Linked DNA regions of Sus scrofa. The protein of the gene in region 2 interacts with the protein of the main gene of each other region in a biochemical or structural test. Links are inferred from orthologs where the notes say so. Each region holds a gene or a part of one and is shown on either strand. Other genes may lie near its edges.

Region 1 (10,409 bases), on a different chromosome or scaffold from region 2:
CAGCCACACCAGATCCGAGCTGCGTCTGTGACCTACACCACAGCTCACAGCAATGCCAGATCCTTAACCCACTGAGCATGGCCAGGGATTGAACCCACGACCTTGTGGTTCCTAGTCGGATTTCTTTCCACTGAGCCATGACAGGAACTCCGATCTATGGTTTTCTTGATGAGTCAAAGATAAAGGATGATAAACTCAAAGACAATTGAAATCCTACACACTAAAGGTTAAATTTTATTTACCCTATTCACTGGTCCAAACTTAAAAATTCTCATTATATCAAATAAAGATTTCATGAATCATTTCCTTCCTGCCAAAAATAAATATTAGGAACAGATTAAGGGTAAGAGTCGGGTTTTAAACTGCACTTTATTTGTTACTATAACATTATCTTTCTTAAAAAACTGATCAACCATAAGCATGCAAAAAGTCCACTTCTCAATGGAACTGCTTCCATAGCCCCTTGGATATAAGTAAGTAAACTATAAAGGCTGTTCAATTTGTAGCTCTCTCTTTTATAGTACTTCTAAGCAGTGTGTGAGACACATACCATAGAGGTAGGAAAGACCATTTTTAATAAATTATCTTCTTAATTGTAGAGCATTTCTGAAAACAACACCTCCTCTCCGAAAAAAAACTGAAAAAGACTAAACCATGCCTTTGATGAGTCCCAGGGACCACAGATCCATTGCCTCCTATTAGAAGAATTAGTCCCCTTGGAGAGTTCTAGCCTTGGTAGAGCACTTGATAACAAGAATCCCCAGGGCTCCACACAACTGCATGAAGAATACCTTCCACCGCTCTCATTTGCCGATTCTTTGGACCACCCAGTCCTGCTGGCAGAGAGGGCAGCGATTGTTCTGTTTCACCCACAGGGACATGCAGCAGTTGTGGAAGGAATGATTACATTCTCCCCAGACCACTAAAAGAAGAAGAAGAAAAAAAGAATATCTGACAACATATTTTAATTTAAATTACTGAGCTCAAAATTCTATCTTATTTTATATTGTATAATAATTATGGTTCATAATCTTGAATAAAGGCGGTTAGCTGGTCAAAAGAAGAAATAGAAACTTTCTTAAATCACACTTAAGAAATGAGAGAAGGCACTGTGTTTGGGAACTTTCCATCATTTCAGAATCTGTGGGTGATGCAGTTCCTACATAGCTCCACATGCTGTCCTTCTCAAATTACAAGATTAAAAACTTAAGTTTTCCTTAGATCTCATACCATCTCAGTCATACACTGACCTCAGAGACATTTTGGGCTTTATTTTATTGAAAAATGTCTTCCTGATTTTTATTCACCAAGATATAACGAATTTTAAATGTTTTCAGTTCACAGTAGGCTATTTTAAACAGAGAAAAAAACCACCCATAATCTGGAACACAATCTCAAACATGGGCTTTGTTTGCTCCTTGCTTGACCAACTGAGCTATAACAGAACAATGAAAGAAACTGGAAAAAAAGAAAAAGAAAAAGAAAAAATCCTTATGCAAATTGGCTGTAGGGGTAGGAAGCAAGGGGGACTCATTTTAGGTCTTTTGGGAGGAAGAAACAGGGTTTGGTCAAAATTACACAAATCATTAATAAGCTGCAGGTAAGCCATACTAACACAAAGTACAAAGTTAACCTTCTATTCCAGGAAAATCTTTAACACTTTTATATAGCAATCTAGAAGTGATAACCTAAAGAACCTAGACATAAAAACCTTTGAACTACTTAAAATACTTAGCCTAAAACAACTTCTCTAGTAAAATTTAACAGATTTTTATCTGTAAACTACATTCCAAAAAAATCTTGAGAATAGTTTCTACCTTAGTAGAAAAGTTAAAATACTGGATCATAAGAGTATTGAATATTGAAATGCTGTATTAGAATATAATCCTGACTGATAAAAACTGACCTGTAACATACTCAAAATTTAAAAGATATTTTGACAAATTTCTTACTTTATACTATTCTTAATAAAAGGCAATTATTTCTTTTGTGATTATCAAAACGTTTATCACACCTGTGTCTAGAATATATAACCAATTCTTAATTACAAGCAACTAAAGGACTTAAAGATTAATTCCATTTGAGAACTGGCCCTTTGAGAACCAACACACTTTATATTAATAATGGATTACTGCTTTACAGTTTATTTTATGTATTGATAAAGTCAATCTTAATAGCAAATTCAAACATCCCCACTGAGAGAAAATCTTCAGTTGAAAAAGGAAGAGAACAAAATTACAACATACCAACACAATCCTCCTGTTTGTTTTCAGCTTGACATCTAAGACAGGCATCTAAAAGTAAACAAATAGCAATTCTCATTCTGATGCTCTGAATGCAATTTTTAAAACCCATACACTTCAAAGTCAAATAAAGGCCCAAAGGGTTATAGATGAAGATTAAAGGACTCATATTATTACTTTCTCATTCGAACATAACTGCTTAAAGATGAATAAAGTGCAAGGAACTCTACTAATTTACTTATGACCAGGAGCAATTTCACAAGGGTTATTGACCCTCTATTTTTACAAATTCTGATGAAAAGATGTCCTGACAGTGGATGAAACCACCAGAGAAAAATACACCATACTCCACTATATTAGGAGTTGTTACACGCTCACTGGGCATGCTCACACAGATCAATCTCATGGGTAGTATATTTTCCAGACATTCTTTTAAAGAAACCACACATATATACTGGTATTTGTTTACAAATACATAGAAAGTCTAGAAGGATACTCAAGAAACTAATAATAAAGTTTATCTGGGAAGGGATAAAATGGGAAGGACTTTTAATTGTATATTTTCTCAGATTTTTAAATTATGTGACTGTATAAGCTTATGTCTTTTTTTTTTGGCCGCACTGGCAACATATGGAAGTTCCCAAGGCAGGGATCAAATCCAAGCTGCAGCTGTGACCTACAGCTGTGGCAATGCCAGATCCTTAACCCACTGTGCCAGAGTGGGAACTCCTTTATATGCTATATGAAAATTAAATGTAAAAAAACTCCCAAATACCTAGTTCTCTTTTTTTAGTTTTTAAGGAAATGCTCCCTTTACAAATATGTCTGAGGCCAAAGCATTTACCTAATGGTAAAGTATTTTAATAAATTACTTGGGAGTAAATATGAGGAGTGGGAACAAAAGGGCATACTACAAGTTTTCAAAATTCAGTCAGTATTAATTGCTTGATGGAGGTAATAAAGAATATTGTAAGAACCAATTAAATGGATTCATTCACTAGCTGAAAGGAGTCAAACCTGGGTAAAAGGAAGTTTAAACCAACAGAAAAAATAAGTTTTAAACATAAATTGGAGAAAAATAATTCTGTAAAAATAGAAATAGTGGAGTTGAAGCCTGCTTCTCTTCTTACATTAGATTTTGCTCAGGCATTTGTTTGCACCACTCTGCATGGTCTTCCCTTAAAAAACCACACCACCCTGGCCTCTTCAGTGTGGATTACAAACAACCAACATCTCCTGACGACTTCTTCAATTCCACAATTACTGAGTATTTCCTCTGTGCAAAGAGTTATGCCCTCAGGACACCAAAATGATCGAGTCTGGATCCCTGCTCTCACCAGCAAATGGGGAGGTAGAGAGGCAAACAACTACATATAAGGATCATGATATCAGGGTGAAGACAAGGCCCTGATTCTGTGCAATCAGAGAATTACAGTTAATGACCCCAATTGCCTTTTTTACAAATTGGGAAAACAAGGCTCCAAAAGGTTATGTCAAATGTCCCAGTTAACATGCAGCTCTCGGTTTTTTTTTTTTTTTGGTCTTTTTTACCTTTTCTAGGGTTGCTCCCGTGTAATACGGAGGTTCCCAGGCTAGGGGTCTAATCGGAGCTGCAGCCACTGGCCTACACCAGAGCCACAGCAACTCGGGATCCGAGCCGCATCTGTGACCTACACCACAGCTCATAGCAACACTGGATCCTTAACCCATTGAGCAAGGCCAGGGATCGAACCTCATGGTTCCTAGTCAGATTCGTTAACCACTGAGCCACAACGGGAACTCCAGCTCTCGCTCTTTATACCTCTACAGTACTAGCAAACCTATTCCCCTTTTCCTTGTCAGTGCTTGCTCACTGTGTCATTTGCTCCTTTCAGAATGAAGGGGGTGGGGGTGGGGAAGAGTGGAAACAAGGAAGTGTTAACTACATCAGAATGGGTGGACAGGTAAATCTTAGATCAAGAAGTCATAAAAATTTTGAAATAACCTACAATGGAAAAGAATCTGAAAAAAAAAGTGTGTGTGTGTGTGTATTTGAATCACTTTGCTGTACACCTGAAACACTTTTAATCAACTACAATAAATTTTTTTAAAAAAGAAGTCATAACAAATCATTTAGATGTATGAGATGAATTCTGAATTCCAAATATTAAGGAAGTGGGATTAGATAGGCTCTTTGTAGAATCTAAAAATCTCTGAATTATGCTTATAGCTTTGATTTAATTATTTAAAAAAAAAACAACTGACCTAAATGTATAAAAATTCCTAAAGTTTCAGATAAAAGAAAACATTTTTCCTTTGGTGATATTCCTAATATCTAAAACAGCACATTTCTAAGGAGTACAATAACAGTAACACCTTTAAGAATGACGCTACCCTAAGGATTGGCAAGTCTATAAAACTTCCTTCTGCCGTCACCTGACCACTAAGTGGATTTTAACACCTTATAATCAAAATATAGAGGTCTAGTCCAGAATACTTTCCTGAATCCAAAGTACAGCTGTTGTAAATCTGCAACATTAATCCACAGTAGCGGAATACTTGCTATAATTAGAAAGTTAATGTGCCTGTTAAGTCATTTAGAGCCCATACTTTGACCAGGAAGGTTTATTTGCTGCCAAATTTCAACCATTATTTAAAACTCTGCATTTCTATTTACAAATTTAAAATTTTTCCCTGGGGAGAAGAAGAAAATAACCTTTCAGAAAAACCTCTTTTTTTAATCACTTAGGGGATAAAATTTTTAACAAAGTTTTTTCTCATAAAAGAACAAAAATTGTTTGGATAAGTCAAAAATGCCACTCAAAGCAGAAATTATGATTTCAGTTTTTAAGTAAGGAGTAGGGTAAGGGGGCTGTATTGCAGGCCAATAAACAAGGTATTTTTAAAACCTAATATGCAAAACACGTGGATCATGTCTGAAATAAAATTCTTTTAAAAGTAAAAAAATAAATATATGATATCTCATTGTTGTAAATCTGCTTTTAAAATGAGTCCTTATTTTATGAATAAAAAACAAGAAAACATACTACAGAGAGGGTAAATGAAGAAACCTCTTGATTCTGGCAGTTCTGAATTTTCATTCCTCAAGAAGGGAGAGTGATTTTTTTTTTTTTTTTAGATTTTATTTTTTCTTTTATAGTTGATTTGGTTCCTAGTCGGATTCATTTCTGCTGCGCCACGAAGGGAACTCCTTATAGTTGATTTGAGAGCAATTTTTGAGTTATTTTCTCCAAAACTCTGATTTTTCGGTTTAAGATGTAAAAGCTTTCAAACTATAGAAACCTCGGTTTCATTTAAGATGCTCTCACAGTGATTTTAAATGCCCTATTAAAAAAAATAAGGATGCATTTAAACAGCATCTCTTTTTCAAGGTGTTCTGAGATCTTAGAACAGAAACCATATAAAATATAACAGGATGAAGCTGTCCCGAAAGGTTTCACTTGGTCCAATATTTTTAAAAAAATTTATAGAAAGAAGTGACTTATTTGTAAAAGAAAATTCTCCACAAAGGCCTATCAGGACACTGTCTTCTCCAGGAAATGGCATCCTTTGATAGCGTAGGGCCAGGAATGAGATTAAAATTTATGTTTCTGAATAAAGGGCTTAACATTCTTCTTCAAGACAAGCTACTGCCATCTGACCAGTCTTGAATCATCCAAGTTTTAAAGCCAGCAGAACAGTAGCTAATCCCGAAAGGCAACAGCTAGGGACACTTCTTTCCTGCGCCTCTCCGGAACAAGACTAAGAGTCATTACTGTGGAAGATGACTCCAGAGCATCACTCTGGTGTGTGAAAAGAAGCATTAAAACGACCCGCTGACTCAGGGCCTTGACCGTGACCTCTACAGTTTGCTTTTAGAAAAGGGTGGCGAGGTTGGGCCCACAAACCAAAGTGGTGCCTCGCAGCTCCCATCAACTCACCTACTTTTATTGTCTTGACCACACCCATCACTACCTGAAATTACCTTTTTAACTGCCCTGCTTTCCACCTGTTTCGTTCCCCAGACTACCAGTCCCCGTCGCCGGCCGCAGCCCTCCGACTAGCAGCAGCACGGGCGTGGCCCCAGTCTTTCGCTCCCAGGCAGGGCGACCCCGCCCCTATACCTCCAGGAACAGTCTCTCCGAGGCTCGGTGTGTCCCACGGGCCGGAGCTGGGCCCGCGGAGGCCGCAGCACAGCCAGGGTCTCGAGTGCAGCGCTTACCCATCACCTGGACCCTGCAGATGGCGCACGTATCGCACTCCACGTCCCAGCTCCACATGGCCACCGCGTTCCACTTCTTCAGAGAGAACATCTTGTCGCCTCCCGACTTGGTTCCTGAGCTACCGGAGTGAGAGGACAGGGCGCAGGGCTCCTCGCCGTCTTCCACGTCTGCCATGGCGGCGGCGCGAAGCCGGCGGCGGAGACGTTAGGTTGCGGAAGGCGGGCGACTATGGCGGCTCCCTGGGGCCCCTCGCCGGGCCACAGCGCCGCCCGCAGGCTGCGGGCCACCGTGGGGCCTACGACGGAGGCCGCCCGAGACTGGCTGGCGCGTCCCAGTGACGTCACCGCCCCCGCGCCCTGGGCCCGGCCCGCTCCGACTCTTTGGCCAAGAATGGGCGCCGCGCTCAGGAGGGTTGCCGGTGCAGGAAGCAGGTGTTCTGCTTTATGCCTTCGTGACCCTTCTGGCTCTCACAAGTTGTCATATTGATGTACTCCCTTCCTAAATGAAAACGCCATCGGAGCGAGGACGTGACTTGATCACCACCTTCTCCTGGGTATGTGAAAAATGCCTGGCCTCAGGAGGGGTAGTTATTTGTTGAGTGAATGAATGACTATCTTTTAGAAATCTGGTTCAGCCGTTCTCAAACTTTTTGGTCTTGGCACCCCTTTACACTTAAGAATCACTGGAACATTAAAGAACTTTCGGTTTGTAAAATATGTGTACACACAAACACACACTTTTTTTTTAAGAAATACGAAAAAAATTTTAATGTATTCACTTAAAAAATAACCATAGGAGTTCCTGTTGTGGTTAAGCGATGAGGAACCCGACTAGTATCTAGTATACATGAGAATGCAGGTTCAATCCCTGGCCTTGCTCAGTGGATCGGTGTTGTTGTGAGCTGTGGTGTAGGCTGGTAGCTGTATCCGATTCAGCCCCTAGCCTGGGAACTTCCATATGCCACAGGTGTGCCCCCACCCCCCGCCCCCGCAAGGAAAAGCAATAAACCCATTACAAGTAATCATTAGAACAAGGATATCACATATCTTGTAGCTTTTATAAAACTCCACTGTATACTCACAGGAGAAAGTGAAGAGAAATAGCGGTGAATATTGTTATGCAAATACTTTTGACCTTGTTTCCCCTGAAAGGATCCCAGGAACCCCCGGGGACCACACTCTGAGAACCTCTATCTAGTCCAACATCCTCCTTTTATTGATAGGAATGTTGAGGTCCAGAAAAATAAGATAAAGACACACCATTATTCCCTAAAGGTAACTGTTTTGAATCCAGGGTTCTTCTGCATCTAGCCCGGGGTCATATTATTATGTTTTCCCAAGCAAAGCAGATAACATCTCTATTTAAATAAGAAAGCTGTGGTATGGAGAGCCCACGAAGATGCCTGATCACCACTACCACCTAGTGGTGGACACCTGCTGTGTCGGGTTTGGAATTCAGAGCCTCCCACCTTTTCCTACTGGGCCTCATCCCCTCCTCTCCTGATGTCTGGATGGGGGCTAGAAGCTCCAGAAATCTGGCGGAGGAGGCAAGGAAGCATATATGTGTGAAAATATAAATGTGGATACATTTGGGTCACATTTGGCTAGATGCTGATGGAAGAGGTGACGTTTGAACTGGGGGAAGATGGGAGGCATCGGAGGCCCGGAAGTGGGTGGAGAAAGCAAACCTCTGCAAGGCTGTCAGGTTGAACAGAGCAGTAGTAGTGGTGGCAGATGTAAAGTTGACCCCACTAAGTTTATGAGCCAGACAAAAATGCCTGTAAACAAACCCAGATGAACCATAAAGGACACACATTTTACTCACATTAAGCTACCACACATCTGACTAGAGATGCTATAAATGCCAGATAGTTAATTTAAAAAAGAAGGCTAGAACCAGATGAGGATAAAATGCCCCCAGTTGGGGGGAACTGGGCAGTTTGAAAGAGAAAAGGAGGGAACTCAGATGAAAGGCTAGAGGATGATTAAGAATGAGAAATGGTAGGAGTTCCCTCTCATGGCTCAGTGGGTTAAGGACCTGGCATTGTCACTGCTCTGGCTCAGGTTACAGCTGTAGTATGTTCAATCCCTGTCCCTTCTGCATGCCCTGGGTGTGGCCAAAAAAGAAGGGGACAAGGAATGGTACATGCTTATGCCTCATCTGAACCTCTTCACTCTGTTCCTGGCTTATTGTGTCCTGACTTCTTGTCTGGCCTCCCCATTCAATCTAAAGTGCCTGTTTAATCTGCTTAGATCCCCCTTTCCACCTGACACTAGCCTGCTCAAAATGTTCCATGGCTCTCCATTATCATCAGAACAAAATCTAAATGTCCCAGCTGGTCCTTTAAATCCTGCCACAGTATGGCCCCAACCTACCTTTCTAATGTTATCTCCAAGCACTCCTCTCTGAGACCCTCATCAGATTAGTTGATTCAGCCATCCAAAGACACCTTAGACTCTTCTCTTCCCCCGACTCCATTTAACATCTCTGGAAGTGGTCAGAACCTCCCTCTGTCTGCTCTAACTACATTGCGTTTGCTGTGAGGAAAACTAATTTTCGTGTCCTTACTGACCACTCTTTGCTACTATTTATGCATTCCTCCCAGAAAAATCATAGCGCTTATTGTGTTTCTTCCACTCTTTTGGCACTAGGTCACATAACAACCAAACAGTGCTGTTACTGATGATTATCAAACAATTTTGAGTTTTTACAAATTGATAGCTCATAAGTGATAAGACCTTTAAAATAGGAAAATGAGTATTCAGTGGGAAAAAAAGCAAGCACTGTCAATAGAGTCTCCAGAAATTGCTCTGTATGTACTAACAAACACAGAGCACATCAACTCACTTGAATTTTTAAAATTGTGGTAAAAATACACATAACATAAAATTTACCATCCTAACAATTTTAAAGTGTAGAATTCAGTAGTATCAAGCACATTCACATTGTTATCAACCAATTTCCAGAGCTTTTTCACCTTCCAAAACTGGAAGTATACCCATTAAACAACTCTCCATCTCCCTCTTCTCCCTCCAGCCACCATGCTCCTTTCTGTTTCTGAGTTTGACTACTCTAAATATCTCATATAATTGGAATTGTACAATATCTGTCTTTTTTGTGACTGGTTTACTTCACATAGCATAAAGTCCTCCAGGTTCTTTCATGCTGTATGTAGCATGTGTCAGAATTTCCTTACTTTTTAAGGCTAAGTGATATTCTTTTGTGTGTGTGTGTGTGTTCATTCATCGATAGATCCATAGGTTGCCTCCACCATTTGATTATTATAAATAACGCTTTTATGAACATGGGTGTACAATTATCTCTTCATGATCCTGCTTTCAATTCTTTCTGATATAAACCCAGAAGTGAAATTGCTGATTCATGTTGTATCAATTCATTTTTAATTTTTTTTTTTTTTTTGTCTTTTTGCCTTTTCTAGGGCCGCTCCAGCGGCATGTGGAGGTTCCCAGGCTAGGGGTCTAATAGGAGCTGCGGCCGCTGGCCTATGCCAGAGCCACAGCAATGTGGGATCCGAGCCGAGTCTGTGACCTACACCACAGCTCACGGCAACGCCAGATCCTTAACCCACTGGGCGAGGGCAGGGATAGAACCCTCAACCTCATGGTTCCTAGTCGGATTCATTAACCACTGCGCTACAATGGGAACTCCCTTAGTTCATTTTTAATATGAAAAATTCACATATACTCTTATCTGGGCTTTTCTTTATCTTTAATAGTATGACTAGGACATCTCTCCATATAAGCACTTCCATATCCACATTATTCTTCCTAATGGCTGTGTGGTAGTTTTCCACCATGTGTATTTCCTGTGGTTTATGTCCTGGAGAACCCTTTGAGACATGTAGCTGTTTCCACTGTGCAATGAACAATGCTGCAGTGAACATCTTTATACACATTTCTTTGCATATGTGTGAGGTATATCTGTAAAATAAATTTCTAGAAGT
Region 2 (10,409 bases):
CTCCAGCTCCGGAGAGCCAAGCACCTGCTGGGCGTCTCCTCAGGGACATGCCAAGGACATCCCAGGCCTGCCACATGCAAGACGGAAGCCTCCAGTCAGCCTCCCTGAACCTGGGGCTCCTCTGGAGCCTGTGGTCTCTGCAGAAGCCCCCCAGTCTGCCCAGAACAGGGACTCCATCTGGATGCCTCCCCTGTCCCCTCAGCTGGCCTTTCTCTCATCCTGTGGGTTGCACAGCCATCCTAGCTTCATCCAGCCTGCTCCTTCCACACCAGCCCAGTCACGTCCTCACCCCTCTGGGCACCCTCAGCCAGTAGGAGTGCTCCAGTTGCCCTGGCCTCAGTGATGGGCTCAGGAACAGCATGTGACTCCCAGCTGGCCAATGAAATGCCGCTCTGGGGCCTTTTCTAGGGCAGCTGAGTTGGGAGAAGCTAGGCCTGGATGGTGGAGCTGTCTTTTGTTTTTTGTTTTTTTATTGCTTTTTAGGGCTGTACCTGTGGCATATGGAGGTTCCCAGGCTAGGGGTCAAATTGGCCTACACCACAGCCAGAGCAACGCAGAATCCGAGCTGCGTCTGCGACCTGCACCACAGCTCACGGCAACCCTGGATCCTTAACCCACTGAGTGAGGCCAGGGCTCGAACCCAAAACCTCATGATTCCTAGTTGGATTTGTTTCCGCTGCGCCACGACGGGAACTCCTGGAGCTATCTTTTTACCATAAGGCCTGTGAACAAAGTGAGCACTCAGGAGAGCTGAGCCAAGAGAATCCCCAGTTTCTTTTCTTGCCTCTGTCCCCTCACTCTGATTGAGGCACATTGGTCTCTAGCTAGTCTGTCTTGTCCCTACCTCAGGTCTTTGCATGAGCTGTTCCCCTCCCTGTACACTGTTCCTCCAGACCCATGTGTCTCACTTCCTCATTTCATTCTGTTCTCTGCTCAAATGCCACCTCCTAAGAGACCCCCCTTTCTAAAATAACCCTCCTGCCCTACCCCCTGTTACTAATGCCTCACCATGCTTTATTTTTTTTCATAGCAATTTTTGCTACCAGAATTTACCAGCTTTGGAGTTCCTATCATGGCTCAGTGGTTAACGAATCTGACTAGGAATGATGAGGTTGCGGGTTCAATCCCTGGCCTCACTCAGTGGGTTAAGGATCTGGCGTTGCCGTGAGCTGTGGTGTATGATCGCAGACGTGGCTCATTGCTGTGGCTCTGCCTTAGGCTGGCAGCTATAGCTCGGATTTGACCCCTAACCTGGGAACCTCCATACGCCATGGGTGCAGCCCTAGAAAAGACCAAAAAAAAAAAAAAAATTATCAGCTTTTTTGTCCTTTCTCCACGTCCCCCCAGGGGCAGGATTTTTGCATATTTTATTCATTGCTGTACCCCCAGCACCTAGAATTGTCCGTGGAAGGCCATGAATTAATTAATCAATTTTCCAGAGGAAGAATCTGACACTCATAGGGTCCAGTGTATTTAGTCCCTGTGGCTATTGTAACAAGTCACCACAAAGTGAGCAACTTAGATACAAGTCCATTATCTTACAATTCTGGAGGTTAAAAGTCTTAAGATCCAGGTGTGGGCAGGGCTGGTTCCCTCTGGAGGCTCCATGCCAGAATCTATTCTCTTGCCTTTTCCAGCTTCCAGAGGCACTGCCTCCTTGGCTCATGGCCCCTTCACAGGGGCTACCTGGAGAACCAGGTCATCCCACTTCAAGGGGTGGAATCTTAGCTGCAGATTTCCTTCTCTCAGGTGAGGCATTGTGTACCCAGGCTCTGGGGTCAGGATGTGGACCTCTGTGGCATTATTGTCTACTACTGTAGCTGAGTGGACCCAGCTTTCAGAGCAGACTGCAGAAAGAGACAGAGCTGAACTTGAAGCCCACCCTGTAACCTTTGTCTTCCTTCTCCATGTCCCTCTCCCTGTGAGGGGTCACATTCTCTCCCTTCCCCCCTTTTTTAAGTATAGTTGATTTACAATGTTGTGTCAATTTCTGCTGTACAGCAGTGACCCAGTCTCTCTCTGTCTCTCTCTGTCTCTGTCTCTGTCTCTCTCTCTCACACACACACACACACACACACACACACACACACCATTTTTTACATTATCTTCCTTCATGGTCTGTCCTAGGAAGCTGTAGGAAGCTGGATATAGTTCCCTGTGCTGTATGAAAAGACCTCATTTCATTGCTTATCCATTCTAAGTGTAATAGTTTGCATCTACTAAGCTCAAACTCCCAGTCAATCCCACTCCCTCCCCACTCCCCCTTGGCAACTGCAAGTCTACCCTCCATGTCTGTGAGTCTGTTTCTTTTTTTTTTTTTTTTGTCTTTTCTAGGGCCGCTCCCAAGACATATGGAGGTTCCCAGGCTAGGGGTCTCATCAGAGCTGTAGCCACCAGCCTACGCCAGAGCCACAGCAACGTGGGAGCTGAGCCGCGTCTGCAACCTACACCACAGCTCACGGCAACGCCGGATCCTTAACCCACTGAGCAAGGCCAGGGATCAAACCCGCAACCTCATGGTTCCTAGTCGGATTCATTAACCACTGAGCCATGACGGGAACTCCTGTGAGTCTGTTTCTATTCTGTAGATAGGTTCATTTGTGGCTGTTTTAGATTCCACATATGAGAGCTATCATGTGGTATTTGTCTTTCTCTTTCCTTTTTTTTTTTTTTTTTTTTGTCTTTTTGCTGTTTCTTGGGCCGCTCCCTCGGCATATGCAGGTTCCCAGGCCAGAGAGAGCCTATGCCAGAGCCACAGCAACGCAGGACATCTTCTTAATCCATTCGCCTGTCAGTGGACATTTAGGTTGTTTCCATGTCTTGACTATTGTGAATAGTGCTGCTATGAACTTAGGGGCCCATGCACCCCCCTGCTTCAGCCCTGCAGCACCACTGCCTCCTGAGATGATGACTTTTCCCAACAGGCACAACTGCAGCAAAATGCTATTGCGCAAATCTCCGTAACATATTCCAGCTCCATGCCAAGGGCTTACAAGCATTATATTTCATGTAACTCATTTTAAGATAAACAAGTTGAGCATTGGAGGACCATTTGTTTTGTTTGCTTTTCAGGGCCACACCCGCAGTATATGGAAATTCCAGGCTAGGGATTGAATACAACTGCTGGCCTACACCACCACCACAGTGATTCAGGATCTGAGTCATGTCTGCAACCTACACCACAGCTCACAGAAACACCGGATCCTTAGCCCACTGACTGAGGCCAGGGATTGAACCCGCCTCTTCATGGATCCTAGTCAGTTTCCTTACTGATGAGCCATAACAGGAACTCCCTGGAGGACCATTTCTAAAGTCAAGGCAGAACCTAGATTTGAATTCAGGGCTCTGTTTTTTTTTGTTGTTGTTGTTTTTTTTTTTTTGTCTTTTTGCTATTTCTTTGGGCTGCTCCCGAGGCATATGGAGGTTCCCAGGCTAGGGGTCGAATCGGAGCTGTAGCCACCGGCCTACGCCAGAGCCACAGCAACGCAGGATCCGAGCCGTGTCTGCAACCTACACCGCAGCTCACAGCAACGCCAGATCCTTCACCCACTGAGCAAGGGCAGGGATCGAACCCGCAACCTCATGGTTCCTAGTTGGATTCGTTAACCACTGTGCCATGACGGGAACTCCAAGGGCTCTGTTTTTTGTTTTTGTTTCTTTGTTTTGGCTGCACCTGCAGCACGTGGAAGTTCCTGGGTCAGGGATGGAAACCACACCACAAAGTAACGAGAGTCATGCTGGAACCTTAACCCACTGAGCCAGCAGGGAACTCCCAGGGCTCTTCTATAGCCCGTGGATGGAACGCTCAACTCAAATTGGCTTAATAAAAGAGTTCCCATCGTGGCTCAGCGGAAACAAATCTGACTAGCATCCACGAGGACACAGGTTCAATTCCTGGCCTCGCTCAATGGGTTAAGGATCTGGCATTGCTATGAGCTGTGATGCAGGTTGCAGACTTGACTCAGATCCCACGTTGCTGGCTTAGTAAGAAGCGGAAGGAAAAAAAAAGAAATTTATTGACTTGCACCATTGCAAGGGGAGGTCAGGCATGGCTGGATCCAGGAGCACAGTCACTGGCACTTTCTCATCAGTTGGCTTAGCTTTCCTGAGTGCCAGCTTTGTTCAAAGATTTCATGTTGATGAGATGGTCCTATGCACAAGGCCCAGGGCTCCCAGCTCAGCCATCTCAGCGTTGTGTCCCAGAAAATATCCCAGGCTGCATCTCCTTAGACAGTCAAGTCACATGCTGAACTAACCACTTCAGCCAGGGCTTAGGGATCAGTCCAATTCGAACCTTGCAGAGTAAGAGTGGGGGCCCCCTCAGGAAATGGAGGTGCCATGGCCAGAAAATGGGCAGGCAGAAACCTGGGATGTCCACAACCTCAGGACGTTGCAGAGCCTGAGATGCAGGCTGTCTTGGGAGACAAAGCCTCAGTGGGACCGAATGCAGAGTATGTAAACCTGGTACCTCCCTTTACCTATTCCCCACCCACCCAATAATTCCTGCCATATACATGGGGATACATCTTGGGAAACTTCTCTGGAAGAATCATAATTAATTCTAATTACTATTTATCAGCAAGCTGCCACTGACCAACACTATGACATTGGTGTCACTGGCAGAGAACAAGGGACAGAGAATACTTGGAACTCTGGACAAAGTGTGTGTGGCCCATCCTATAGGGGAGGCCCCTCCAGGTCCCCTGGTGTGCAGGGCAAGCCCCTGTATTGATGAGAGCCACTGAAGCTACTGCTCTGCCCATGGCTCTTCCTCAGGCTCCTTTGCTCATTCCCAGAGATGACATTTTTTTTTTCTCCAGATTTACCTGCCTGTCCTCAGCTGGGGCCAGCCCAGGGCCAGGTGACAGGCAGGCGGGGGAGGGAATCAGCTCTGCCCAGCCTCAAGTGTTGGTGCAGCTGCTGGCTGCCCGGGTCACCTGCCAGCAAGGCCATCACAGGCCACGGGGGCCATGCCCACCCTCGTGGGGAGCTGTCACCTGCGGACCTGCAAGGCTAAAGACCAGGTCCGAGCGCGCGCACATACACACCTCTCCGACCCAGAGCTGTGTGGGTGTCTGGGCCAGAGTGCTGTCAGGTCAGCCAGGCGGGGTCGGAAGGTGGAGGGAAGCCCAGACCCCCCCACCCCCCGGCTAGCTGGAGTCAAAGGTCAGCCTGATATGGACACAGCTGGGGTCAAGTTTTTATCTGGGGTTTGGCCAGAACAGGTCCCGAGACTGTGGGGCAGAGCACACCCTAAGTGGGAAGACGGCCGGAAGTGGAGGGACCCTCTTGGCTGGCCCGAGGCAGCCTGGGCCCGGGTCATGAGTATGGAAACTGAGGCTCGAGCCGGCCCCGCCCCGGCCCCGCCCCGCGCCGGGACGTCACAAAAAGGCCCAAAAGGGCCGCGAGCCGGGCGGGGCAGCGCAGCGCAGCCCTGCCCGCGGCCCCGCGCACAGGCATCAGGGGAGCTCGTAGAGCCGGGGCGGCGGAGGCCTCCCAGGGCCTCGGAAGCGCCAAGGCGCCTGCGCGCGCGGCCCCCGGCTCCCGGCGGCGCGCTCGGCGGCCGGGGGAGGGATCGCTTCCCATCGTGCCCCGCGGGCGGGCGCGCAGGCGCGGTCGGGGCAGGCTGCGCGCAGGCGCGGGCGGCGGCGGGGGCGGGGCGCGGCGGCCGAGGCGAGGGCCGGGCGGCGGCGCAGAGCGAGTGGAGCCCCCGGGTGCCCCGGGCGGCGGCGGCGGCGGCGGCGGCGGCGGCGCAGAGGAGGAAGGCGGCCCCGGCCCCGGCCCGTCCCGCGGTCCCGCGGCCCCGCGGCCCCGCGCGCCCCCTGCCCCGGCCCCGGACCCGGGCCCGTCCGCCGCCGCCATGGCCCGGCCGCTGGTGCCCAGCTCGCAGAAGGCGCTGCTGCTGGAGCTCAAGGGGCTGCAGGAGGAGCCGGTGGAGGGCTTCCGGGTGACCCTGGTGGACGAGGGCGATCTGTACAACTGGGAGGTGGCCATCTTCGGGCCCCCCAACACCTACTACGAGGGCGGCTACTTCAAGGTGAGCAGCGAAGAGGGGGGCGGGCGAGCGACCCTGCTCCGGGTCCTCGGGGCCCCTCCTCCACCTCTGCTCCCTGCCCGCTCCCCTCGCGGGGCCCCCTCCCTCTGCTCCACTGCCTGGCCGCCTCCGGAGAGTTCGGGGCTCTCAGTCACCCCTTCTTCCCCGTCTGGCCTCAGGAGTCCCCGAGAAGCGCCCATCCCCTCTAAGCCCGCTTCAGGCCCCCGAGAGGAAACCTAGGACCCTCCGTGTTTCTCTGGGTGCAGGGTTCTTGCTTCCCCCAGCCCTTAGTGTTCCCCGCCTCCCGGCCCTGCTCGCTGCTCAGAGGAGACAAAAAAGCCTCCCCACAACCAGCCAATACTGTTGCGGGGAGCGCCGGCTTAGGAAGGGAGGGAGTGGGGGAGGGAGGCCCGCTGGCCTGGGGACTGGCTCGGCCTCCTGCTCGGGTTCCAACAGAGGCCAGGATGGGGCCTTGGCAGCAGGGACCTGCTTGGAAAGCGTCCACCCTTGCCGATAGCAGCCGGCCAGGCCCTCTTGACTTCATCCTGAGCTTTATGTAACCTGCTCTCTCTGACGGTCACTCCCACCCTCCTCCCTGTCCCTGGAAACCACGGAGCAGAACCCACCCCAGGTTCCACCTCAGAAGGTTGGGGTCCTGGCCTTTTTCAGGTTCCAATGAGTCGTTGGCTTCTTGGGCCCGAATCTCAAGCTCTCGTGGTTTCTGGGCCCTCGGTGGTGGCCCGAATCTCAAGCTCTCGTGGTTTCTGGGCCCTCGGTGGTGGCTTAAATCCAAGCAGTTCTCTCTTGTTGTCAGAGCTGGGAGGCAAGTGTTTTCCTGGGGACTTGTGTGTCATGGACTCCAGCCAAAACCTGGGGAGGATCTGAGTCTAGCCGTGGTCTTGAGGGACCCCTCCCAGATCAAAAGGACTTTGCTCCTTGAGCCAGAGGGACAAGGCAGGGGGTCTCCTTGGGTGAGAGATGGGGCCTGAACCATCAGCTGGGAACGAACACACACACACACACCCTGCCAAGAGCCCTGCAGGCCTGGCTGGGAGGCCTGGGTTGGGGGGTGGGGAGGCTGATGCCGCCTGGACAGATTCTGTGTTTGCACTTTTGGCTAGTTCAGCAACCTCAACAGAACAGCCTGAGCTACTGGCATTGCTGAGGTGGGATGGGGGGATGAGTGTGGACAGCTCTGGGCTGAGTTCTATGGTTGGAATCCATCTTCCCCATGCAGGGCACGGATTTAGGGTTGCTCACTAAGTGATCTAACCAGCCTCCCTCCCTGGTCTCTTTTGTGTGCTTCTGGGTACAACTGGCTGTGAGGATAAGGGCCGGTGCTCAGAGCTGGGAGAGCAGAGTCCTACTCTTCAGCCAGGCCAGGACTCTGGAAGGAAAGGAAAGGATGGGGAGGGGGGAATAGGGGGGTGGTTCTGGCTATTACTCTCTGTTTACAGGGGATTGTGGGTAGGGCCTTCTAGGCTGGCTTTGGGGGGAATAATCCTGTTTTTCTGAAGAAGGAAGGACTGGGTTCAGGGTGCTGCACATTTCTCATCTGCCTGCTATAGCATCTGTCCTCAGGCCAGCTTGGGACCCACGGTGGTCTCTGATCCTCGTGTCCCAAAAGATGCAGAAATAGCAGGGGCTGGAAGTGCCAGGGGGTCCACCATCGCTTCCCAGCCTCCTCCTCTGAGTTTTCCAGGCCTCACCCACTTCCCCATATGAGCCAGAGGGTCCTGGGCAGCAGGTGATGAAGGCATGCCCTGGAAACCCAAGTTTGGGAGCCCCTCCAGAGTTCTGTGCCCTCAGGCAAAGTGCTCTCCTTTTCTGAGCTGCAGTTTGCACAGCAATAAAGGCACCCTGGGACTTGGTGGGTGCTAGGTGCTTAGTCAGGGGAGGCCTGTCACCCTGCCTTGCTAAGGAAGCTTCAGTTGGTCTTGGGCTGTCACTTAGAAACCCAGCACTGGGCTTCGGAGACCCCAGGGCAGAGTCTGAGGCTTGAGTTCCAGGCTGGCAGAGGGACTTCCCTTGTGTCTCCAGCATAGGAGAGCAGTTCTCCACAGATGGGTTGAAGGACCTACAGCAGTGTATCCAGTGTGGCCCCTAGTATGCTGCCTGGCCTCTGAGAGCCTGAAGCACCACCAGATCCTGGGACTAGGGCTTAAATAGGCTGAAGCCAAGGCACAGCTTTCACCCATAGGGCCCTCCCCCATCTGCCCCGTGACCTTCCTGTCCGCCTTCCTGACCCCCCCGCCAGGACCGACACCTTTGGGTAGAGAGCCTCTCCGCCCAGCGCTGACTCATGTCCGCCCACGGCGGGCGCCTGCCCAGGGAGGTGTGGGGATGACTGCCCGGTGAACACGCGGCTATTTTAATCCCCCCACAAGCTGGAAGCTGAGGCCCAGGCCCCTGCTGGCATGTGCCCGCCCCTCCCCCAGGCCCACAGGACTGGAGCTACTCCCTGGCAGTGCCCATGCCCCCCAGCAGCAGGCAGGGACCGGGGACAGCTCTGGTGACCCCAAAAAAGCCCCAGGTTTGTGTGAGCTGTGGCCGGCCAGCGAGGTCCCTGGCCAGCCTGCTCTGGCCCTACTGAGCCCATGCTCTCTGCCTCCCACCAGGCGCGCCTCAAGTTCCCCATTGACTACCCTTACTCCCCACCAGCCTTTCGGTTCCTGACCAAGATGTGGCACCCCAACATCTATGAGGTGAGCTGGTCCCCTGTATTGGGGTGGGTGGGAGGGGGTGCTATGGGTGAGATCTGGAGCTGCAGGCACTGACCCCCTCCTGTACCATGCAGACTGGGGACGTGTGCATCTCCATTCTCCATCCTCCGGTTGACGACCCTCAGAGTGGGGAGCTGCCCTCGGAGCGGTGGAACCCCACCCAGAATGTCAGGTGAGGTCCTTGGGTGCTCAGAGGCTGGTGGTAGCAACGTGGGACCCCACCTTCTGCCTGACACCCCTGCCCCACCCACCTCAGGAATGGCTCTGGGAATTCCACGTCTTCATCTGCCTGCCCTGGGGTCTCCCCGTCTTCCTCCAGCCCATGATCACAGCCCCTCGTCCACAGACAGACTGCTCACCCCCAGAGGCCTGGGCACCCTGCCTCCTGCTGCATGTCTTTTCCGGCCCAGACCGCAGCAAAAGTGGGTGGCATAAGGGGACCCCCTCTCCAGGCAGGATGATGCCTTGGGGAGGGGGACAGGCCTACTTCAGTGCAAGGAAGGTGATTCTGGCATTGGCTTCCCTCAGATCTTGTCTGAGGAGCTTGGGAGGTGGGGGGTGGAGCATGGTTCAGGGTGTGAGGCTCCCAGGAGAACATGCCCCTGACAGGCTGGCTGGGCGGAGAACACCCCTCACACTGACTCCTGCTCCCCAGGACCATCCTCCTGAGCGTCATCTCCCTCCTCAACGAACCGAACACCTTTTCACCTGCCAACGTGGATGCCTCGGTGATGTACAGGAAGTGGAAAGAGAGCAAAGGCAGGGACCGGGAGTACACGGACATCATCCGGTGAGCCCTGCTCCCTCCACTCTCTGGAGAACCCTTGCTTCTCTTCCTCTTGCGCACCTTGAGGCGTTCCAGTTCTGGGAGTGTGTGGTCCACGTCGAGCATGGCTGTGCCATGTGCACCGCAGAGTGTGTGCATGTGTATACCTCACACGGGCACAGAGATAAATATCCTGTGACCACTGAATTTCAGCAGGGGGTCTTGCCATGTTCCTTTGCTTTGTGACAGAAAGGGCAGAGATCCTGCCAGTCTGCCTGTGTGTGTCTCCCTCCCCCCTCCACCTGCGTGTACCCCTCATGCTCGCCCCCAAGAGTAGGTCTGTGAGCCTGTGGCCTCTGCTGCTCTCCTCCAGGAGTGTGTTTTCCATGTGTGCTTTGTGTGATCTATTTTTTCACCTTATAGCTGTGAATGTCACTTCCACTTGCAAAAGGGAACAAAGCCATGTGATATCAGCATGTTTAGGAAATACTTTCTTTCATGAAAAACAGTTTTTTCTTGGTTATAGAAGCAGTGCGTTACTTAGGAACTTGCCAGGGTTAACTGTCCCTCATTTTCATTGTCTCCTGTCCCTGCTGTGACGAAGCAGGTAGCCATCCTCACAGAGGCATCTGTGCAAACATTCCCTGAACCATGGGTGCTTGGCTGGGTATGGGGCCCAGAGCACAAGAGGCCTGCCCCAGCGATGCCCCAAGGGACTTCCTATCTTCCCTGTTGTGTTGTGTCTTGTGAGCTGTGCTGACCATTTTCCTTTGTCGCTTGTCCTCCTGGAGCTTGTGACTTGGTTTTTGTGTTTTGGGGTTTTTTTGGGGGTTGGTTTTTTTTTTTTTTTTTGCTGTTTAGGGTCACACCTGTGGCACATGGAAAT
Region 3 (10,309 bases), on a different chromosome or scaffold from region 2:
ATTCCTTAAGCTGTGTGGAGAACGGACACCTACTGAGGGTCCTCCTCTCCTGGGGGAGCCCCGGGCATCGTCCCACATTCCCCTGGGAAGCCCCTCTCCCTTGCTCTCTCCAGCACCCTGCAGCAAAACTTAGGCCAACAAGAGGAGAAAGAAGCAGTGACCCTATCGGCCTGGATCAGTGTCTCTGAGAAACTCCAAGATGCCCCCTGGAAAGATGACAGAGGTGGGGGGTGAGGTGGGGGGTTCTGAGAGCTCTTTCCCGGGATGAGCAGGGGCCGCCATCTCTCTAATGGTGGTGACCAAAATGAAAGCAAATCTCAAAGAAATGTCCCATAGCCTGGTGGTGGCTCTGAAGGTATATACACTTGCCATAACTCAGACTGTATACTTAGGATGGGTGACTTTCATATGTAAACTATCTCAAGAAAGTTGATATAAATATTACTTATAGGATCACAGAAAAATCACAAAAAAAGTACCCTGTTTGTTTGTACCTTAAATAAAAACATAAGGGCAGGCAAAAAGCACATTCCTGGCATATTACGCTGTGCCCACCCTTGGCTGCCTTGACAAAGCAAACACACCTCTGGCTAAATGTCTGCCGCTGATCAAAAAAAAGGGCACTGAAATCTTAGGTACTAAAGTATGAACTCATGGGTTCTTCTATGTATACCTAGGGAATGAAGAAAAAAAATTTCAGTCATATAGTCAACGCTCAACATGGGTTTGAACTGTGCAGGTCCACTTATATGTGGATTCTTTCCAGTACTAAATACAATGGTTCTATAGACCCGAGGCTGGTTGAATCCAAAGATGTGGGGGAACTGTGGCTAAGGGGCACTGACTATAAGTTACATGCAGATTTTCAACTGCACAGAGGGTCGGTGCCCCTAACCTCCAGGTTGCTCAAGGGTCAAGCACATAATACTCCACAGTCAAGGTGATAAAGATCACTGGACCTGGCATAACAGAACATCAGACATTTAACTATTTTATAAGAACAGCATTACTGAAAGTTTAAATTAACGAGCAGCTTGAGCCTTCAGAACGCAGTCACGAGTTTCTTAATACTTAAAAAGCAGTGAGTGAAAGAATCCTGCATTGCTACAGCTGTGGCTCGGGTTCCATCCCTGGCCTGGGAATTTCCATATGCCACCGGTTCAAAGGATTTATAATTGTTTTTATAAGCACACTGGAGAGCCCTTCTTCAAAATGGACTCTTGAAGGGAAAAGACCTTAATGGAAGTTTCGGCTCTGACCTCTATCAGCTAGGATCCAAGGAAATAACTTAAATGAGCTGATGCTCAGTTTCTCATCTATGAAACAGAAACCTGGGTTACAGTTATTCTTAGCTAGTACTCAGCACCGCTACAAACTCCGAGGGTTGCTGTCAATGTGAAACTGCCCTGCTAAGGAAGGAAAAGAGCTATCATCTACTTAAACAATGAAACCCTGGCTTTTTAAGCTACTACCTGAACACCTAACCTGTGTCAGGCAGGAGCTGTGCCACTTTTTAAAAACATAACTTCATTTAATTTTCACACCATACGCAAAGCAGAGGCACTGATACCCCCCTTTCATGGAGGAGAAAAAAGGCTAAGTGCCATCAAATACCTTGTCCCTTAGCCACAAATAATTAGAACTTAGCTCATTATTATAGCTCACTGCATTATTTTGCCAGAATCTTAACTCTAGGTTCTTGTTGTGTGAACCACTGGATTCTGATTTCTATGGTTTCTCTTATCTTCATTTACACTTAAGAAATAAAAACCAAAAGGAGAAGGTGATCTTACCTGCAAAGTGTATCTGTTTTTGAAGCAGTTTGTTACTAACTCTCCTTTAGACAGCTGATACAACCATGTCAATTTTCTCCCACTGTGACGGCTAGCATAAAAAGCTGTGAATCGCTGATAACTCCGTTCCAACTGGACAAAAAGGAGGGGGGGCATTATGTGGAATATGTATCTCACCATATTTGGCAGCCAACATTCCTCAATAAAAAACAGTGGGCTGGATGGAATTCCCACTGTTGCTCAGTGGGTTAAGAACCCGACTAGTATCCGTGAGGATGAGGGTTTGATCCCTGGCCTCACTCAGTGGATGAAGGATCTGGCATTGCCACAAGCTGCGACGTAGGTGTAGGTGTAGGTCGGCAGCTGCAGCTCCAATTCAACCCCTAGCCTGGAAACTTCCCAATGCTAGGGTGTGGTCCTAAAAAGACCAAAAAAACAAACAAAACCACTGGCCCGGAGTTCCCGTCGTGGCGCAGTGGTTAACGAATCCGACTAGGAACCATGAGGTTGCGGGTTCGGTCCCTGCCCTTGCTCAGTAGGTTAACGATCCGGCGTTGTCGTGAGCTGTGGTGTAGGTTGCAGACGCGGCTCGGATCCCGCGTTGCTGTGGCTCTGGCGTAGGCCGGTGGCTACAGCCCCGATTCAACCCCTAGCCTGGGAACCTCCATATGCCGCGGGAGCGGCCCAAGAAATAGCAACAACAACAACAAAAAAGACAAAAGACAAAAGACAAAAAAACAAACAAACAAACAAAAAAAAAACAAAAAACCACTGGCCCAAGTTTATAGCTCAAAACGCTTAGGTAAAATACAAATACCAAGTCTCTACTCTCATGCAAAAAAAAAAAAAAAAAAAGGGCATGTAAATTTAATCATTTGAGGATACCATAAAAAAAGTTTCTACTTCAAGACACATAGGTATGGTCATGATGTTCATCACAGAACTATTAGGTTCTACTTCTGAGGGTAAATAAGCATGTGAATGAACACATATGGAGCTGAGACAAAGGTGGCCAACCCCTGACCCCTACCCAGCCCCAAGCTCATGACTGCCCGGCGCTGCCCCGTTTGAGGCCACATGGCTAGGCAGCAGGAAGGCCTTCTTAGGCACCATCTGCATTAATGCTGGAGGCTGCCCCCTTCAACTCTGCTCCACATGAAGGGAACAGAAGGTAAACCCATCCTTACCTCTGACGGCAAGGCAAACGTACAGGATTGCTGAAAGGGCCACGATCCGGAGCTGAGAACTTGAATACTGAAATCCACTGGGGCCGTGGGGAAAAATAATTAATTAGCCTTATAAACTGAAAAAAGCCACCCTTTCAGATAAACATGGGTTGCTTTTTATTATCAGGAAACACATTAAATGAAAAATCCGGATTCAATATAAAACTAAGGACTGAGCACATTAAAATTAAATTGTTTTATTCAATTAAAATCAGTAAAGGGAAGAGCCAGAAATTCTCTCCTCCAAAGGGTGAGTTTTTCATTTCTCTTCTAACTCAGAATTACAACATCATAAGCCTGCTTGGCTTCATCTGCTTTAGTTTACAGTCCACTCAAGGCACACCGGAGTTCACCAGGCCTGACTGGCATTAGAGCCCCCAACTTAAAAAGGAAAACAAAAACCCCCAAAGTAAACCAACTTCATTATGTTTTCTGTAGCAGAGTACTGTGAACTGACACACAGACCTTATGTATCTTCAATAATCTATAAATTGTAACAGTAATGCCATCATCACAGATGGCTGACAAGTCCACGGTACAATTGTCAGTAACAGGTTAATAGTTCTTTCAATTTGGGAAGAGTACAATCTCCATTCTTCATTTAAAAAGATGATGTCATCATGCCCTGCCACCCTCCTCCTGCAGTAGGAGCCCAGCTGGCCTCCTAGCCTGCCTGGCCAGCAGCGTCAATCTGAAGCCATGAGGGCTCTTGTCTGGCTGTTATCTCTATGGCCCTGTCAGTTTCTTATAATTAAAAACACTGCTATGGAGTTCCCGTCATGGCTCAGCGGAAACGAATCTGACTAGCATCCATGAGGCTGCAGGTTTGATCCCTCGCCTCGCTCAGTGGGTTAAGGATCCAGCGTTGTCGTGACCTGTGGTGTAGGTCGAAGATGCAGCTCCAATCCAGAATTTCTGTGGCTGTGGTGTAAGCCAGCAGCTACAGCTCTGATTTGACGTCTAGCCTGGGAACCTCCATATGCCACAGGTGCGGCCCTAAAAAAAAAGGCAAAAAAAACCAAACCAAAACAAAACCCACAAAACACCCCCCCCCAAAAAAACACTGCTAGAATGGAATCAAACTAAGGTTAAAAACTTTTAACTGAAACTTAAAACTGCTTGGAGCTGGCAAGTGCCTGGGGTTGGGCAGCCATGTCAGCAAGTAGAAGAGGTCAGGGCTCAGCTCCTCCAACTCCCAGCTGGCCATGCTCAGCACAAGGTTCTCCAGAAAAGGCCACACATTTCTACGGCTGTCATCTCATCTCCTATCATCACACAGGAGTCATGAGGTGGCCAGTGCATTTGGGAAGAACTTCCTGCTTGTCTGTCCTTCAATTTCTGATAAAGTACCCACCATTCCTACTTAGTATTTTGTCATCTCTCTACCTTGTTCCAAAAAAGCACCGGCTCCTCTAAGAATACCTCCTACAAAGGAAGCTTGTAAACACGTGGATAATACTCACAGTCCAGTGGTTCTGAATTCGTCAGGTGCTTTTTGAACTGCTCGTTCAAATCTTTGCTTACACCAATATCTTGAAACATCCGCTGAAGTTTAGAGGTATACTCAAAACCACAAGCTTGCTGCAATGAACCCAGATAACGATCTTATTAATTGCTATAGAAATATCAATGTACACAAGGGAATCTGATAGAAATCACAGTACATGACAGGTACTTTGTAACATTTAACTGTATTCAAGGTATACAAAATGCAGATTAAAAAATACACTATCTACAGCATATATTGGCATAACATTGTTTTTTTCTTTTTCTTTTGTCTTTTTAGGGCCGCATATGAAGGTTCCCAGGCTAGGAGTCGAATTGGAGCTGCAACTGCTGGCCTACACCAACCACAGCCACAGCAAGGCAAGATCTGAGCAGTATCTGCGGTCTGCACCACAGCTCACGGCAAGGCCAGATCCTTGGCAAGGCCGGATCCTTAACGCACTGAGCAAGCCCAGGGATTGAACCTGCGTCCTCATGAATCCTGGTTGGATTTGTTAACCACTGAGCCATGACTCGAACTCCCTAGCATAACACTGTAAATCAACTATACTTTCTTTTTCTTTTTTTTTTTTCAGGCTGCACCTGCAGCATATGAATGTTACCATGCTAGGGGCCCAATCGGAGCTATAGCTGCTGGCATATGCCACAGTCACAGCAACACAGGATCCGAGCCATGTCTGTGGCTACACCACAGCTCACAGCAACTCGGAATGCTTAACCCTCTGATAGAGGCCAGGGACTAAACCATGTCCTTGTGGATACTAGCCGGGCTCGTTAGCTCTGAGCCACAACAGGAACTCTGAACTATACTTAAATAAAAAATAATAAAACAAATTTTATTAATTTATTTTTGTCTTTTGTCTTTTTAGGGTCGCACCTGCGGCATATGGAGGTTCCCAGGCTAGGCATCCAATCGGAGCTGTTGATGTTGGCCTATGCCATAGCCATAGCAACACTAGATCTGAGCCACGTCTGTGACCTACACCACAGTTCACAGCAATGCTGGATCCTTAACCCACTGATCGAGGTCAGGGACTGAACCCGCAACCTCATGGTACCTAGTCAGATTTGTTTCCACTGCGCCATGACGGGAACTCTAACTTTAATTTGTTTTAAATAAGATATAAATAAAATTAATACACTATCAAAAATTATACAGCTATAAATGGAAGAGTTAGGTCTGTATACACACAATAACTATCACTAAGGGCAAGGATTTCTGACACCTTGGAAGAATATAAAGATGACATAATTTGTCTCTCACCCACTACCACTGGTGGAGCTGTGCCCCCTAGTCCCCATGTTGAAGCCCTAACCCCAAATGTGATGGTATTTGGAGGTGGGGCCACAGGGAGACAATTAAGTTCAGAAAAGGTCATGAGGCTGGGCCTCCAGGATTGGACTGGGAAGAGTGTCCTCACCAGACACTGAACTGCCTGGTACCTGGATCCTGGACTTCCCAGCAGCCTCCAGGACTCTATTCAATTCTCTTGTTAAGGAGTTCCCGTCGTGGCGCAGCGGTTAACGAATCCCACTAGGAACCATGAGGTTGCGGGTTCAGTCCCTGCCCCTGCTCAGTGGGTTGACGATCCGGCGTTGCCGTGAGCTGTGGTGTAGGTTGCAGACGCGGCTCGGATCCCGCGTTGCTGTGGCTCTGGCGTAGGCTGGTGGCTACAGCTCCGATTCAACCCCTAGCCTGGGAAACTCCATATGCCGAGGGAGCGGCCCAAGAAATAGCAAAAAGACAAAAACAAAATCAATTCTCTTGTTAAGCCACTCAAGCCTATGGTATTTTGGTATGGCAGCCCAAGCTGGTAAAGACAACCACGTAACTATAATTTCAGGTCACCAGCTATGATTGAAAAAATAAAAATCATCAAAAAAAAAAAAAATTCAGGTCAAAGTGAAATATGGTCCAGGTCACATAATAGCACCTGGCAGGCCAGGAAGCACTGACACAAATGCGGCCGAATGAAGAAATATGCAACAGCAAACTAACACTTAAAGTGTTCTGTCCTCCCGCAGACCCACCCAAGGCCAACAAAAAGCTGAGTCTGGGCTTCACCACTTGCAGCAATTCTTGGGGAGTGGAGACAGAGCTGAGGTCACGGGTGCAGGAGCTCGGAGAAGACACTTGGACGATGTGCCAGGCTCAGCTGGAGCAGGAGGGGCTCTATGCAGCAGGGGAAGGGTTGGCAGAGCATGTGAGGCCTGACCTGGGCTTGTCACAACACTGGCGGTGGGGTCCTTGTGGTGGAGGGCGGAGTTCTCACGGCACAGAATCCATGTCATCCATTGTCTACTCTGCCCAACTGACAACCCAGAACTTTAGTGACTTAAAACTGGCATTTTTCCGGAAAACATTACATTTACCTTTAACTTAGAGATCATGCTTGCTTCAGCATCATCGCTGGCGCTATTCTGATGGACAAGCCTCTTGGCCAGCATCTTTGCATAGAACTTCTGGAACACATCTTTGTCCTCTATGTACTTGAAGACCACCATCTAGAAAAGCCACACCAGAGCACACTTAACACACTTACAAAGACACTGTCACCAAACCCAGGCCAGAAACAAACATGTGTGCTCCGTTTTGTCCAGCCCTGTATGCCACGCTTACAATACTGCCCCATTATCTTTAAGGCAGGTATTTTCATCAATCCCTAAAATTACGTGAAGTCTAGACTGAATACAAATAAGGAAAGTACAAATGCCAAAATTAAGGACTTAATATAGGGAGTAAAATCATAGATTCAAAATAAAACGAATGCTTCTACTACTTTCCATATTCCATATGCCTCATTTAAATAACTGAAAAGCCACTTGTCAGAGAAAAGGCTACTTGCACATTGACGTGACCCTGGAGCTTCTTACCACTTGATTGAGTGTGTCTTCTAGCTCTGCTTCTTCTGGGTTCTTGGAACTGAAAAATTTTAAAAGGTATAGTGTTTTAAAATAAATCAGGAAACATTTATCAAACAAGCACCACTCAACCAAACCACATTAGAGTGTGGTTCTGAACATTCAAGTGGTTAGTTCTCAGATTAGCACGGGGAAGAGGGAAGGTTTAGGCTGTCCTACACTTTATCTCTCTTTCATAATCTGTTCTTCCACAGAATAATGTAGAATATCCACAATGGATCTCAATAGATGATACTTATTAAAAGCTTCCCCAAACATTCTGAATCAAGTTTTCCTTTAAGATAATCCATTTAAACATGCCTTTTACTTTTCTAATTGCTTTCTATATAATACGCTTTAACTTAACTTTGAAAAAATAAAAGGCCTTTTAATGGCCTAGTAATTAAAGATAAAAGAGTTTGTAAACTACCTCTAAAGTGTTGCCTTACATGTCATTACGTCCACAAAATAGATGGTTGTCCTTTTACAACTGCTTGATTCACTCTAGTCTATGAATAAATATTAACTGAAAGGTGATTGCAGGGTAAAAATTTAAAGCTTTTACTCCAAGAGACCTTAATAAACAAGACCCCTATAAAATCCATATAAAATGATCCAACCAGCAAACAAGCTCTAAAGACGTGATCCTACTTAAGAATAGTTGGCTCAGGAATTCCGGTTGTGGTTCAATGGGTTAAGAACCAGACTAGTATCCGTGAGGATTGTGGGTTTAATCCTTGGCCTTGCTCAGTGGGTTAAGGATCTGGCAATGTTGCAAGCTACAGCATAGGTTGTAGAAGCAGCTTGGATCCTAAGTTTCTATAGCTGTGGTATAGGCTGGCAGCCACAGCTTCAATTCAGCCCCTAGCCTAGGAACTTTCCATATGCTGTGGGTACAGCCCTGGGCGGAGGGGGGAAATACTTGGCTCAGGAAGCCCATTCTTCTCACTGATAGGTCAGGCCTGTGTCTCTTTCCTGGAAGAGTTTAACTTAAGTGTCCCTGGAGTCCAATCACTAACATACACTTGTTAAAACAGCACTCAGAACTATCCACCATTCTGCCTGCTTTAGCAGCCTTAACTAAAGAATAATATACACCAGGAGACTTGATGAGGACCATTTATGAAAAGACAAAAAGTCAAACAAACTGAAGCCCTACAAGAGTATCTACACATTTAAAATATTGAAAATTTTCATTTTACTGAGCCTAAAAAATAAAAGGTCACAAGAGGCATTCCAATTTAAAGTCCATTTTCACTCCTGAAATGAATACATTAGAGAATCTGACTAGAACTGCTAAATTATACATTAGATAAGCACTGCAATAGGGAGGAAAAAAATCAAATACTCAATTTGCACCAGGCCTTGGGCAAATGGCTTCCTGACAAAGTTAAAAGAGATGGCTATTGGAGTACTCAGTGGCTCAGTGGTGAATCAACCTGACTACGACCCATGAGGATGCGGGTTTGATCCCTGGCCTCACTCAGCGGGTTAAGAACCCAGCATTGCCGTGAGCTGTGGTGTAGGTCACAGACTCGGCTCAGATCCCACATTGCTGTGGCTGTGGTGTAGGCCAGCAGCTGTAGCTCTGATTCGGCCCTCAGCCTGGGAACTTCCAGATGCCGTGGGTGCAGCTCTTAAAAAAAAATAAAAAAGGAGATGGCTATTAACCTTATTAAATATTTTCCCATGTCAATCAAGAAGACCACATTGTTGTTCATATAGCTCTGTTGTTAAAGTCAATTATATTCCATCTGCTACTACTGAGCCATCCTTGCATTCATTCCTAGAAAGCTGTCCTACATTCTGAACAATTATTCTTTGGTTCACTGATAAATTTAGTTTGCTAATATTTTACTTAAGATTCCCCACATCTCTATTTCTAAGTGAGACTTGTTTGTAGTCTTTCTCTTGGTAGTGTAGTTATTCTCAGTCTTTTTCATAATGGGATTATATGAGCCTTAGAGAGCTCCTTAAAATTTTTTAATATCAAACCCCTCTAACTGGGGGCATGGAAAACTACTGCAACATGTGTTGATGTGATATCTGGATCACTAAAATAAGCCTGGAGCATTTCTAAACTGAAAGCTAGTTCAGTGAAAGAGAAGCTGGGGCAAACCAAAACCCACACAAAAATTATTGAGAACTTCAAAAAACACAACGCAGAGAATCAGATTATGGTGCCTCTAGTGATCAATACACATACAGTGATTAGGGAAATATCAGTTGAGAAATAAGATGCTCAAAATATACAGACTATGAAAAAGCAGTACTAAATCAAAGTCATTAAAGGAAGATAAATGTTAAAAGTACACAGAATAATGAGAATACTGTAATATGGGAGAGTCTTCTGTTTTAAAAAGCAGCCAGTGGGAGCTACAAAATTTTCAACTGGAAAAAAATTAAGCAAGGCCAATAGAAAAGAACAACTAGGGAATGAAGAGAAGTGGTGACTTTCTGTTGTAACCACCAGCTGGACCTGCCTAGTGGAATCTATTTAGCTAAAAGGGTCATGCTCACACGGCCGACAATTACAAAGAATTTAGTAACGTAAGAAAAACATAAACTGGGCATTTAACATATATAGTCAAGTGCCTTTTAGGAAGACAAAAAAGGTGTATTTCACTTTTTTTTTTTTTTTTTTTTTTTTTTGCTTTTTGGGCTGCAGCCACAGCATATGGAAATTTCCAGGCTAGGGGTCAAATTGGAGCTATAGCGGCCAGCCTGCACCACAGCCACAGCCACGTCACATCCAAGCTGCGTCTGCAACCTACACCACAGCTCACAGCAACACTGGATCCTTAATCCACTGAGCAAGGCCAAGGATCAAACCCTCATCCTCGTGGATCCTAGTCAGGTTCGTTAACCGCTGAGCCACAAAGG

What was found.
Region 1: the proteins of CDC34 (region 2) and RNF7 form a complex in vitro, tested with the Homo sapiens proteins (5 studies listed by BioGRID). The link is inferred for Sus scrofa from reciprocal best matches to the Homo sapiens genes CDC34 and RNF7.
Region 3: the proteins of CDC34 (region 2) and CUL1 form a complex in vitro, tested with the Homo sapiens proteins (3 studies listed by BioGRID). The link is inferred for Sus scrofa from reciprocal best matches to the Homo sapiens genes CDC34 and CUL1.

The regions. Positions count from the first base shown.
Region 1 is NC_010455.5:82,544,830-82,555,238, reverse strand, and holds RNF7 (RING-box protein 2), read right to left. Parts: upstream 6,765-10,409; 5' UTR 6,620-6,764; coding exon 6,445-6,619; intron 2,295-6,444; coding exon 2,247-2,294; intron 923-2,246; coding exon 804-922; 3' UTR 351-803; downstream 1-350. UniProt on the Homo sapiens protein: Catalytic component of multiple cullin-5-RING E3 ubiquitin-protein ligase complexes (ECS complexes), which mediate the ubiquitination and subsequent proteasomal degradation of target proteins.
Region 2 is NC_010444.4:77,763,638-77,774,046, reverse strand, and holds the start of CDC34 (ubiquitin-conjugating enzyme E2 R1), read left to right. Parts: upstream 1-5,714; 5' UTR 5,715-5,860; coding exon 5,861-6,037; intron 6,038-8,652; coding exon 8,653-8,739; intron 8,740-8,831; coding exon 8,832-8,929; intron 8,930-9,412; coding exon 9,413-9,547; intron 9,548-10,409. UniProt on the Homo sapiens protein: E2 ubiquitin-conjugating enzyme that accepts ubiquitin from an E1 ubiquitin-activating protein, and catalyzes its covalent attachment to other proteins by an E3 ubiquitin-protein ligase complex. In vitro catalyzes 'Lys-48'-linked polyubiquitination.
Region 3 is NC_010451.4:109,462,451-109,472,759, forward strand, and holds part of CUL1 (cullin-1), read right to left. Parts: intron 7,449-10,309; coding exon 7,400-7,448; intron 7,031-7,399; coding exon 6,899-7,030; intron 4,601-6,898; coding exon 4,483-4,600; intron 3,058-4,482; coding exon 2,981-3,057; intron 1,926-2,980; coding exon 1,794-1,925; intron 1-1,793. UniProt on the Homo sapiens protein: Core component of multiple cullin-RING-based SCF (SKP1-CUL1-F-box protein) E3 ubiquitin-protein ligase complexes, which mediate the ubiquitination of proteins involved in cell cycle progression, signal transduction and transcription.